3 linked regions of the Oryzias latipes genome follow. The protein of the gene in region 1 interacts with the protein of each later gene in a biochemical or structural test. Links are inferred from orthologs where the notes say so. Each region holds a gene or a part of one and is shown in the gene's direction. Other genes may lie near its edges. The genes, in order: wac, rnf40 and vcpip1.

Region 1 (3,650 bases):
CCTTCCTTTCAGTTTATTCTTCAGCTGTGTTCACACCGACTGCGATTCACGCGTTAGGGGCATCCAATTTTTAATCTTAAACTAATGTACGGACGTGGTCAGAGGTCCTGCAGCGCAATTAGGCGTGTGGCATCTACATGATTTGGGCGTTGCATCGAGAGTTCAAATACTTTGGCAAAAAAGACGCCTCGCATCAACCAATTAGGGACTCAGCTTTTGCCCATGACTTCTTGATGATGTCATCAGGGGGTGAAGTACAAAACCAACATGAAGGGGAATCGAATTGTTCTCCTCCTGAGCTTCATATTTTTTTCCATACTTTTATTTTCTAATTCTCTTATTCTTATTTTTCTTTTTTCCTTACTCGGACTAATGTGAGGCAGCAATTCGTCACACTGGGTCACCGAGAGACAGAAGTACCGCTGAAAGCGCCGTCTTTCAGACGACGCTCCTTCAGTAGATGGGGGGAAGCTCATGTACTGGGAGAATCTGAATGACCTAATGGAGACATGATTACCAATGTTTTTTTATCTGGAAAATAAATGAACCTGATCCCAACATCATCCGTGTCTTCCATGCACTCTAAATGGGATATAGAGACATGTATATCCCATTCACGTAGCGATGAAGTTAAAAACTTTGGAGAGTAGCTCCTCCCACATGCGTCTGGAGCATCACGTTCATGAACACAGTTTTTGGCAAGGGTCCAGTGGCAAATTTGTCACTCATCAAAAGAAATGCGCCTGACACAGATTTGACACATGAATCACCTTCGGTGTGAATGTAGCGTCATACTAATGACAACATAAAAATGCTTCAGTTTTAAAATGTTAAATGTAGATGTAAAGTAAATTCACACTGACGATGAAGGGTTAAAGGGGACTTTTCTGTCATAGGAGAGCTAATTCTCCCCTTCTGCTTCCATCCCATCCTCCTTTGCATTTTAGAACAGATTGCCGGCTATTGCATCAGACCTCTACCAAAACACCTGTCTGTCTGACAGGAAGCCATTTGTTTCTAAGTTTGTGTTCTTCTACTCAGCCTTTCGAGCCTGCTGATGACTGGTCAGAGCACATCAGTTCCTCTGGAAAGAAATATTATTACAACTGTAGGACAGAAGTTTCCCAGTGGGAGAAGCCCAAGGAATGGCTTGAGAGGTAGTTTTATGGTTTTTTTTCCACTAATGAAACAGTATTTGGCTTTGCACACTAAAGTACATTTGCACAAGTGTTGTTAAGCACAGATCTCTAACAGTGTTGTTGTATTTGCCGCTTAGAGAACAAAGGCAAAAAGAGGCAACAAAGACTGCTGTTGTCAACAATTTCCCAAAGGACAGGGACTACAGAAGGGAGGCTATGCAAGCAACAGCAGCCCCTGGCTTTACTGGTCCTAGTAAGTGTTGCACAGATCTTTTCTGACTCATCTCACTAAATCACACTTACTTTGTTTTATTGGTCAGACTGTTAATTATGTTTTAACCTAGCAGCTAGTATGGCTAATGCTTAGCAGATAAAACATTTTGTCAGGCATGTCAAATGTTTTGATCATATTACAGGTCTTCGGTGTAAAGAGCATTCTACTCATCACTGAATAACAAAGTTGTAGATTATTTCTCACAGGTCACTGGATATTATTTAGCTGTCAAGTTGTGTGGTGCCTCTGGTGCTTATAGGTCTATAAATCAATTACCTGATTTAAAGCACCTGTTAATATGGGCTGATTGCAAATCTCTTCCAGAAAACAAGAAATTAAAAACTAGTGATCCTTGGGGTTTACGGTTCAGCCATGATCTGTCGCACCCCTACCTTACAACTAGGTTTTATCTGATGGAATTGCACTGAAATTACTTATATACAGTAATCCCTCATTTTGGTGCAGGAGCTGCGTTCTAAAAATAACTTATAATAGACAAAATCTAATATTTGTGCAATGATTTAAGGCTAAATCCCCTCACTACACACTATACACTTTTCTCAGTCAGACATGAACATTTTTACACTTTTCTCTCGTTTAAACTCTCAAAGTTCAAACCTTCATAGGAAAAATAAGTTCAGGATTGTAGAATGAGACCAAAGATCTGCTGAAGGCTTTCTATACAAGAGAAACGGCACAGAGATTGACTGTGAATGCCTTACAACCAATCAGGACACGAAACATAATGTAAAAAAAAAAGCAAAAGGCATGCAAAATTGCACTTAAATGTTAAGACAGCAAAAGATCGACAGCGATATTGAGGGACCACTATACTTCACAGACGACCTCACAAATAAAAAAGTTTTTTTTGTTTTGGTAAATTATTTTGACAAAATGCAAGTGTGAGCTAATATATTATATTCTTTTGTGACTGATATGTTTAAGTGATTTTATTAGAACTGAAACTGGCAGATTACAGTTAACATAGTTTTAGCTCTTTGTTGGGCTAGAAAAACGTATCAGTAGTGAATGTTTCAGATCCAAAACCATCTGATCACACCAACAAACCTGCCAACTCCAGTCTCAACAAAATTAGGAGAATAGATGCTTTTAGCTCCTCTTTTCCAATGTTGGTTACATTGAAGTCATCATAGTACTACTTTTTAGCCTCTGGTACCTCTAGTTGTTATTGAGTAGGTACTAGTATGTAGTACATTTAGCATTTTCCAGGTGTTTTTATCAACAGGTGAAATGAAGCACTTCTACTTAAAACAAATTGGTACTGCAGCTACGTTTGTCTTTTCATTTTAATCCTTTTGTCTGCTCTTTATATGTTCTGAAATTCTGAATTTCAGTACATTTTATGTTTTTGTTTATTTATTTTCTACTAAGGATTGTAATTTCTCCCACCTAGACTCTCTGCAGTTAAAGAATTTAAATTCAGAAAACTGCTTAGCTAATACATGTTGGTAATTTTCCGGAGATTTCGCATTTGATCTCAGTCTCTATTGTAAAACTCATTCATTGTGTTATGATCTGAGAATCCACATGATGTGGGTGCTGGTTTGTCTGTGTAGGTTGTAGCAGGAGAGATTACCGGTTACATGCAGGGTTAGTGGTGTGTGGACACTGAGCGCCAGGTTGCATAATGATTTCTTGTCGTATAAATGAAAAGAGCTGTGACAGTGTGGGATTTTTTATTTTTGATACCTATCTAACTAATGAACTAACCATATGGGTGCTGTAGAATGACTATGCGTGTCTGTGTCAGCGTGCTGCGTGTGGAGGAAGGACCGCGTACAAGTGTGTTGGGGGGTGCGTGTTGATTCTTCTGCAGCGGAGTGCTCTGGAGCTGCATGCGAGGCTTCACCTGTGCTCTCTGGTACAGACATCTTCTCAGAATATTATATATTGCCCAGTAATAAACGAGACTGCAGACACTTTGTCACCTTTCCGGTAGCCATGAAGCCTGACATCCATGAAGAACGCAGGGCAGGAGGCTAGGGTTTTGTTTATACAGACACGAAACGTTGTGCTGCACAAAATAGTTCCCAAACAAAACATGTAGTGATATTCATCGAAATTTAACAGTTCGTGTTTGGTATTACAGAGTGAAGGAGAACAGGAATAATCCCCCAACCCCCCCAACACAAAGTCCTCCGGTGGGCGGCCGTGTCGCGCACTTAAGAAAGCGCTCAGCTTGTAATGGAAATGCATAATTAGAACGCAGTAAATTT
Region 2 (4,197 bases), on another chromosome or scaffold:
GGAACCTACTGATGGAGGGGTGTCCCTTCACCATGTTGAGAAGGTGGATCTCCTTCAGGGTGGAGCTTTTCACCTCCTCCAGCTGCTGGGCTGTCATCTTCTCGGCGGTGATCTCTATGATTTTCACGGCCAGCTCCTGCCCCGTGTGCCTGTGCACACACCGGCGGACCACACTGCTCACCCCCCTGAGAGGGGACAGACGCACGTGAACGCACCACGACTCCATCATTAGCGGCAAGCGGGACGGAGCGCGTCAGAGAACATCCTGTTCTTTCCTTTCAGCTCACCTGCCAATAACCTCCTTCGGGTCATATTTCTGGTAAAATTCCTTCGCTCCCACCCAGTCTGGCAGCTCGTCTCCAACAACGATGTCCTTGGTCATGATGGATCTGTGTAACGGCATCAAATTTTACTCACACGCGCACCCGACGGGGACGACTTTAGCTAACTCTTGGAAGGAAGTTTTGTTGGGACTTCGTAAACATTTAAACACCCCAATTGCTCGACATAAACCTATTTTAAAAATGTACTTGTTGTGATAATATCAATGTACAGCATGGACTTGTCAGTCAGGGTAGAGCGTCTTTGATTTGGCCTTGTCCTGTGAGCAGGTTCACTGACCGACCAGGAAGCTACTCACCAAGCAAGTGTGCCCAAAAACTGCAAGAAAAGGACCGCGAATATCAGCCGAACTGATACCCTCCGCTCTGGGGATTTATGTCGAAGCCATAACTGGGTTTTACCGAGTCGTGACGGCACTCCAGATATGCTTAAGAAGTTGTCTCCGGTTAGAGCAATGTTTACATTCTGGTCAAATTCCTTCAAAATCGTTTGAGACCGGTTTGATGCTGTGGCGGCACTGCCCCCTTGAGGCGGGAGTCTCGCAGGACGTTTGTGTCCAGAATTCACAACAACAATAACCATACAATAAATGTTTATTTATTACATTTTTAAGTATGTTTAAAAAAAGAATGTAGTAATATGTTGCACTGGTTTATATTACACTTTGTGTGAGTTTCCAGGTTTAAAAAAAGTTGAATAAAATAAAGTTTTTTTTTAGGACAGATTAAAAAATTAAGAGCACATAACAGAATATTGGACAGTTTTGTTTGCATTAAACAACATACTCAGTCACGAATTTGAAGAAGAAATATAGTAAACATAAACAACAACAACACAAATTCTACTTGGTAACTTAAAAGTAATTTTCACTCCCTTTGTTGTCATCTATACCTTTATTTAAACATATGGACACATATTTACATATGAATTTGCCAAACAGCATCACTTTTACATTAATTTTCCTTCCTTAATCTGAAAGTTTTTCTGTGAAAAAAATACTTTTGATTAATTGATTAATTACTGGATTGATTTCAGAGATTTTGGCTTTGACCATTGTTGAGCTTTCGACTAAGTTGATGTCGAAGTTTAGGACGGTTAAATAATAGAGCTGAATGGTCACATTAGCCTCCTATATAAACATCCCTTATTGCCTTTTTTTGCTAACTAAATAAAACCTGCAAGATAATTGACAGTAGTTTCCCCAACGTTAGCTCTATGAATGTTTATACGTTAGAAGCTTTAATGATCTAGGTAATCTTGCAACTAGTTACTTTGGTTGTTCTGCTTTAATTCCCTTAATCCTATATTAGAGGACAAAAATTCAATTTGAACTACTTGGTTAGCTTTTATATTGTCTGATGCAAGAAGCTCAATGTGAGGGTTTCGGGTTTTTTTAAGTAAAAAATGAACACTAGGTGGCGATAGTACTACAAGTCTTTGTGTTTCAACGAAGAAGAACAGCATTTCCTGACGCCTCCTGATACGTTTCTTGCTAAGGTCTGTTGTGTCAACATTTCCAAGATATTTGTGTGTCTTTGTGAATATGTGCATATAAGTTAATGTGACATTTTAAACGCACAGCTTATGTAGGAATGGTCAGTGAATTGAAAATGCCGAAACAATGTAATTTTATGAGCTAAAGAAGAAGCGCTGCTTAGCTTAGCTAACCATTAGCTTAGCTAGTGTTGGCAAGCTTAGAAAACATACATTGATTTGAAAAGAGAGGTCGATATAATTTTGATTGTAGCTTTTACTTTGTGATAGTTTGAAGGCATACTAATGTTATTGTTTCTGTAGCTTAGTCGGAAGACAGTTTTCCTTCTTTGAAAGTGATCTTTTACCGGTTGTCATAATTTGCTGAGAAAAGGATGTAGGTTTCTGACAGATTGGTACTAAATATGTTTATGTTCAATTTCATGCAGGAGCAGACATGTCTGGTTCTGGGGGAGGGAAGCGTCCCTCAGGAGGGGATAGCCCCCCTGGTCCCCCTGAGAAAAAGAGCAAGAAAGAGGAGAAGACCACCACCACACTTATTGAGCCAATACGTATTGCTGGAGTCTCCTCTACGGTCTGTCATTTGGTGTATTTGGTGTTTAGAATTTTAAATCTTCACATGATTTAATTATGCCATTTTTTTAAACTGAAACTAAAATCTGTCTTATGTACAGGAGGAAATGGACATGAAGGTTATCCAGTTTAAAAATAAGAAGCTGTGCGAGCGCCTGGAGCAGAGGCAAGCGATGGAGGATGAGTTACGAGAGAAGATTGAAAAGTTAGAGAAGAGACAAGCCACTGATGACACCACTCTTCTGATTGTCAATCGCTACTGGTCACAGGTACCTTATTTATTGCAGTGTTAAGCTTTTAAATGTAAATAATGCATTCAAAAACCAGCTTAAGACAGAAGCTAAATCCTTTGGAATTACTCACTAGTGAGCTCTGCTCTTAGCAACATGCCACTGTCAGTAATAGTCCTTAAATTGATCCAGTGGATTCTTCTACGTTTTCTCTGGTTTACAGTTGGAAGAGAGCGTAAGGTTGCTTCGCAAACGCATTGAGCCTGAACAGCCTGCTCCGGCTCCTCCCATGGCACCAGTAGCTGACGCCACAGCAGTTGATGACAGTGGTGTCAGACTATCTTCGCCCCGCTCTGAAGGACCAGCGCCACCCGTGCCTGAAATCCAGAGCGAAAGCGAGCAGATGGACCAGCAGCAGGTCGAGGAGCGTCAGGAAAAAACCCAGGAAGAACAGCAGCCCCCACCGCCTGCCGGGTCAGAAGAGTTATTGACACAGACCGAGCCAGCACCAGAATCAAAAACAGGTTAGCATTTTGGGCTAAGTTCATTAAAACTTTAATTTTACGCTGTTCATTGTCAGTCAATATCTTTAATTGTCAAAATGGTCCCAGGAGTATAAATTTTGTCTTTTTAAAATTTTTTAAAAATGTTTTAGAACAGAATTTAAAGCTTCTGAGTTTGATCATATTGATGAATTATTCAGGAGCCCATTGTTTTGGTCCCTTGACTATCCTTAAATGGTTTTATTTTTTGCAGACTCAGCACCGCCTCCCCCTCCATTGAGTGAAAATGCCAAGGGGTTTTTGGCTGTGCTCGAACAAAGTACAGAGGAGGAACTGGCCTTGCATCTCCAGGACCGCATGCAGTTCAGCAAAGACGCCATCGCCCAGCTGGTGTGCGTCTTCGACAGACTGCACAGCCGCATTGACAGCATGTGCAGAGCAGCTCAGGAAGCAGGTAACAATTCAAAACTCCTCATTAGAAACACATTCATACACTATGCTCCAAAATAGCAATTAGCATTTTCCTGGGTTTTATAAGTAATTAAAGTTGTATTTTTGATAATTAAGTTAGTAATTTTCTGTTGGCAAAACTTCCAGAAATGCTGAAGAAACAAAATTACCTTCATAAGCTGTCATGTCCCATGTTAAGAAGAACCTGTTCGCATTTCCATATCATAAAAGCTGAGTTCAATTTCATTAGCCACACCCGGCACTGATTACTGCCAGGCCTGTTGAATCAAGAATTAACCTAAAAAGAAGCTGACTGAGAGGTCAAGTGGTTCAAATATTAGTCCAGCATAAAGAAATTCAAGAACAAATTAAAAACACTTTTTGAAATGTGCCACTCAGAAAACCCTTTTAAATGCATTTTGAAGATTTTAGGTTTTCAGGAAGTCATTATGATCCACAGAGAAAACTTTACAAAGTAAAATAAAATACCTCATAACACATTATCTAGTGGGACAAAGGGAAATCCAGGGCAGCATAAAGGATTTTAAGCCTAATTTGCTTTAGTTGTGATCTGTATTTATGAGTTAAATAAGAATAATTTTGGT
Region 3 (4,339 bases), on another chromosome or scaffold:
TGAGAAATGCACACACGTATTTGCAAACTTTAATTCTGATCTGAGAATTGTACTAAAGCGACTGAGAAAAACTGTAACAGGAGGATCTTCAACTTGATCTAGAATCAACTGGGAGCCAATGGAGTGAAACTAACACAGGAGTGATGTGATCTCTTCTACTAGTTCCTGCTAACAATCTAGCTGCTGCATTCTGAACAAGCTGGAGACTTCTTAATACGAAGCACCTACCTTTTATAATTTCAGAGGGAGAATGACCCACGGACCGGTACCGGTCCGTGGGTCATTCTAGTCTAAAACTAGAAGTTAATCAGTAAAGGCCAAAGTTTGTTCCTCCACTCCCGAATAGGTTAATTAAATAGACAGCACTGACATCCTATGGTTAGTTGGTGGTACTACATGATATTCAAAATCAAATACAGGAATCAAAGAATGTTTGGATGGACATACTTAGGTTTTCTTTTGCCATTGTTAAGAATTGACTGGGTTGCCAAAACGGGAAAGACACATTTTTAAAAAATCATGACTTCAGGTATTTTCATTGAAAAGTTAAAAAACAGTTGTCCCAATCTGCATATAAGTGTAGTGGTTAGCATTCTCATCTTACAGTGAGAAGGCGCTGATCTGAATACCAGCTGGAACCTTTCTACACACATGGGTTTTCTCCTAGTACTCTGGCTTCCTCCAAACTCCAACAACATATCTTGTAGATTAATTGTGACTATATTTTCCCTTAAGTGTAAATAAAAGCGTGGTTGTTTCTCCTGTGTAAAGCTCGCTGATGGATTGATGAGGCAGGGTGTACCCTGTGACCCTAGCATAAGGCATATGTAAAATGGATGGATAGCCAAGGCTGTAGAAGATTTTGTCCTTAGTATAGAACACAGAAATATCTAAAGTAATTGCAAATTAAATGACTGTGGTAGCTTTGTATGAAAAAAAGGGACAGGGAGTATCTAAGCAGTGTGCTTTATGTAACTGCAGCCATCATTAAATATTCTGCATTCCGTCATCCCATCCAGCCTCTTCCTGCAAAATTTTGCCTGTGATGCTGCATTTGGCTGGCTATGCAGTTATTCACAGAGAGGGAGGTTCCAATTATTAACAGCGTTTACAATAACAAACAATATATTTTCGTGCTCAACCTATTTCATTTTCTATCTTCATCAGTTAGGGGGTGGGAGCTGTGAAAGGGGTGGGGTTGTGTGTAGGTATGGGGAGGGGGGCCCTATTTTTATTTTTGTGCTTGTTCTTATATTATTTATTTTTATGTAAAGCCCTTTGCGTTATGGTTTTATAGGAAAAGTGCTATATAAATAAAGTTTGATTGATTGGCTGACTAAAACTTTTAACTTTTGTTCACTTTCTTTACAATATTGGTCATTTAAGCTTTTTTTATCACTCTAGATTTGTTATATCTTTTCTCATTACATTGGAGAGATGGTTGCATACATACCATTCTTTCGGCTTGGATTTGTTTTTCACAAAAGGTTTGTAACTAAAAATCCTAACAGTGGGTTAAATCTGTTTTGGTACAAAATCCTTGTTTTCAATTAAAATGTTTATATATCCGATTATAACTTAAAATACAATTTAAAAAAGGTGTATTTTTGTACGGGCAGTTTTCTATGACTTGCCATAAATATTATGACCACAAGAGGGCGGCAACGAGCTTTACATTAATAATTATGGTCAAGAACTACACGCGATACCACACACACGAACTAAATTACTAACCTGCTGTTTGTGTTTGTATCACAGCGGGTTTTGTAAGCGGCCTGAACATGGTTTAAATTACAGAATTATTACGCGTCCAATAATATTAGAAATTTAGCTCATGTCTTGGATATACTACTGTATACGCGTTGTTGTCACATCTATTTAAAAAAATTCTATCACTTAAGTATTAATTTGGTGGATTTCTTTACTTGGATTAAAACATTTTTGGAGCTAAGCTCGATTTGACAACATGTTTGGTGGCTCATTCCACGTCGTTCCGTACACCACCTGGCTGGGTTATTACCTACCTAGCACAGTGCTAGGCTAAAAACAAAGCTCCGTACTTTAATTAATGGCATTAAACATGGAAGGTTTTCTGCCTCCAGTGACAGAGACAAACCCACAACCTGAAAAATTGTCTGGGCTTCGACTATAACTATTTTTGGATGGTTTAAAATATTTAATATAACTCTATCGGCGATTACCAATAGAATTCTGACAGACTTCCTTTCACAACAAAACAGCCGCCTTACGCGTTGCATTCTGGTAAATGGTGTAATAATCTGTAGATCTGACTAATTCATTTGGTTACCTGTCAGCCTGAGTCGTGATTTTTTACCTTTTCTTTGTAATATAATAATATTAATACATATTTACTTTTTAAAAACAAAATATTTACCTTTTAATTAGGTATGACATTTGGGAAAAATAAGAATTGGACTACAAGTCCCACAAGCCACCGTCTGACGTCCTCACGTTTTGCAACAGACCGTTGCTATAAGGAAAAAACAGCCGCTTCCGTGTTGTTCTGGTGCTATTCTAGCAAACAGCAGCGTTAGCGGCGACAAACCTCTTCTGTCCGCCTCTGGGGTGAGATTAACATGCTTTTGTAAAGTTGGAAGGAGGTTTAAGCTTTTTACCAAACGCAATGTCGCTTCTGCCAGCCTCAAAGAAAAAAGACAAGCGAATCTTGTCCGGTACCTGCCCGGACCCGAAATGTCAGGCGCGGCTGTTCTTCCCCGCTTTCGGTTCTGTTAGCATTGAGTGCACGGAGTGCGGCCAGCGGCACGAGCAGAAGAGCCTGCTGAACGTGGAGGAGGTGACCGATCCAGATGTCGTGCTGCACAATCTGCTCAGAAACGCCCTGCTCGGCGTCACCGGGGCCCCGAAGAAGGGGACCGAGCTGGTGAAGGTGATGGGGCTCTCCAACTATCACTGCAAGCTCCTGTCCCCGGTCCTCACCAGGTACGGGATGGACAAGCAGACCGGCAAAGCCCAGCTGCTCAGAGAGATGAACCAGGGGGAGATGTTCGACTGCTCCCTGCTGGGGGACAGAGCCTTCCTGATCGAGCCGGAGCATGTGGCCACCATGGGCTACGGGAAGGACCGGTCCGGGAGCCTCATCTACCTGCACGACACTCTGGAGGAGGTGAAGAAGGCAAACGGCAGCAGGGAGTGTCTGATCCCGGTGCACGTGGATGGAGACGGCCACTGCCTGGTCCACGCTGTGTCCAGAGCGCTGGTAGGCAGAGAACTGTTCTGGCATGCTCTGAGAGAGAACCTCAAGCAGAACTTCAAACAGAACCTGGGTCGCTACAAAGCCTTATTTCAGGATTTTATTGATGCTGCAGAGTGGGAGGACATCATCAATGAGTGCGACCCGCTTTTCATCCCCCCTGAAGGAGTGCCTCTGGGCCTGCGCAACATCCACATATTTGGTTTAGCTAACGTCCTCCATCGGCCCATAATCCTTTTGGACTCTCTGGTTGGGATGAGGAGCTCCGGAGACTATTCCGCCACCTTCCTGCCCGGGTTGGTACCGGAGGAGCAGTGCAGGGGGAAGGACGGGAAGCCCAACAAACCCATATGCATTGCCTGGAGCAGCTCCAGCCGGAACCACTACATCCCTCTGGTGGGAATCAAGAACACGGTGCTACCCAAACTGCCTGCTCACCTGCTGCCGAAGGCCTGGGGCGTCCCTCAGGAACTCATCAAAAAGTACATCCGTCTGGAGCCCGACGGGAGCTGTGTGATCGGCGGCGACCGCAGCCTGCAGGACAAATACCTGATGAGGCTGGTCAACGCCATGGAGGAGGTGTTCATGGAGAAGCACAACATCCACCCGTCCCTGGTGGCTGACGTGCACCAGTATGTCTACAGAAGGACCGGGGTGATCGGCGTCCAGCCTGAGGAAGTGACGGAAGCAGCCAAAAAGTCAGTGTTGGAGTATCGGTTGCACCGCTGTCTGATCTGCGGCGCCCTCTCTGAGCTCCACGTCCCGTCGGAGTGGCTCGTTCCCGGCGGGAAGCTCTACAACCTCGCCAAGTCCACGCACGGTCAGCTGCGGCCCGACAAGAACTACAGCTTTCCTCTGAACAACATAGTCTGCTCCTACGACCCCCAGAGGGACGCCCTGATCCCAGACTACAAGCTGAGTGGCCTCAACACCTGCAACTGGTGTCACGGCACCTCGGTGCGCCACATCCGTGGAAACGGATCTGTGGTTTACCTAGACGGGGACAGGACGAACACCCGCTCCCAGGGTGGGAAATGTGGGTGTGGCTTCAAACATTACTGGGAGGGGAAGGAGTACGAAAATCTGCCAGAAGCGTTCCCCATCACG

What was found.
Region 2: the proteins of wac (region 1) and rnf40 form a complex in vitro, tested with the Homo sapiens proteins (2 studies listed by BioGRID). The link is inferred for Oryzias latipes from reciprocal best matches to the Homo sapiens genes WAC and RNF40.
Region 3: the proteins of wac (region 1) and vcpip1 form a complex in vitro, tested with the Homo sapiens proteins (2 studies listed by BioGRID). The link is inferred for Oryzias latipes from reciprocal best matches to the Homo sapiens genes WAC and VCPIP1.

What each region holds. Positions count from the first base shown.
Region 1 is NC_019878.2:7,928,959-7,932,608, reverse strand, and holds part of wac (WW domain-containing adapter protein with coiled-coil), read left to right. Parts: intron 1-1,041; coding exon 1,042-1,157; intron 1,158-1,276; coding exon 1,277-1,392; intron 1,393-3,650.
Region 2 is NC_019877.2:9,330,642-9,334,838, forward strand, and holds the start of rnf40 (E3 ubiquitin-protein ligase BRE1B), read left to right. Parts: upstream 1-1,356; 5' UTR 1,357-1,839; intron 1,840-1,893; exon of another isoform or gene 1,894-2,264; 5' UTR 2,265-2,272; coding exon 2,273-2,410; intron 2,411-2,510; coding exon 2,511-2,678; exon of another isoform or gene 2,679-2,862; coding exon 2,863-3,163; intron 3,164-3,395; coding exon 3,396-3,596; intron 3,597-3,762; exon of another isoform or gene 3,763-4,197. Other genes in the region: phkg2 (phosphorylase b kinase gamma catalytic chain, liver/testis isoform), read right to left, coding at 10-185, 288-382.
Region 3 is NC_019875.2:10,353,662-10,358,000, reverse strand, and holds the start of vcpip1 (deubiquitinating protein VCIP135), read left to right. Parts: upstream 1-1,504; 5' UTR 1,505-2,644; coding exon 2,645-4,339. UniProt on the Homo sapiens protein: Deubiquitinating enzyme involved in DNA repair and reassembly of the Golgi apparatus and the endoplasmic reticulum following mitosis. Necessary for VCP-mediated reassembly of Golgi stacks after mitosis.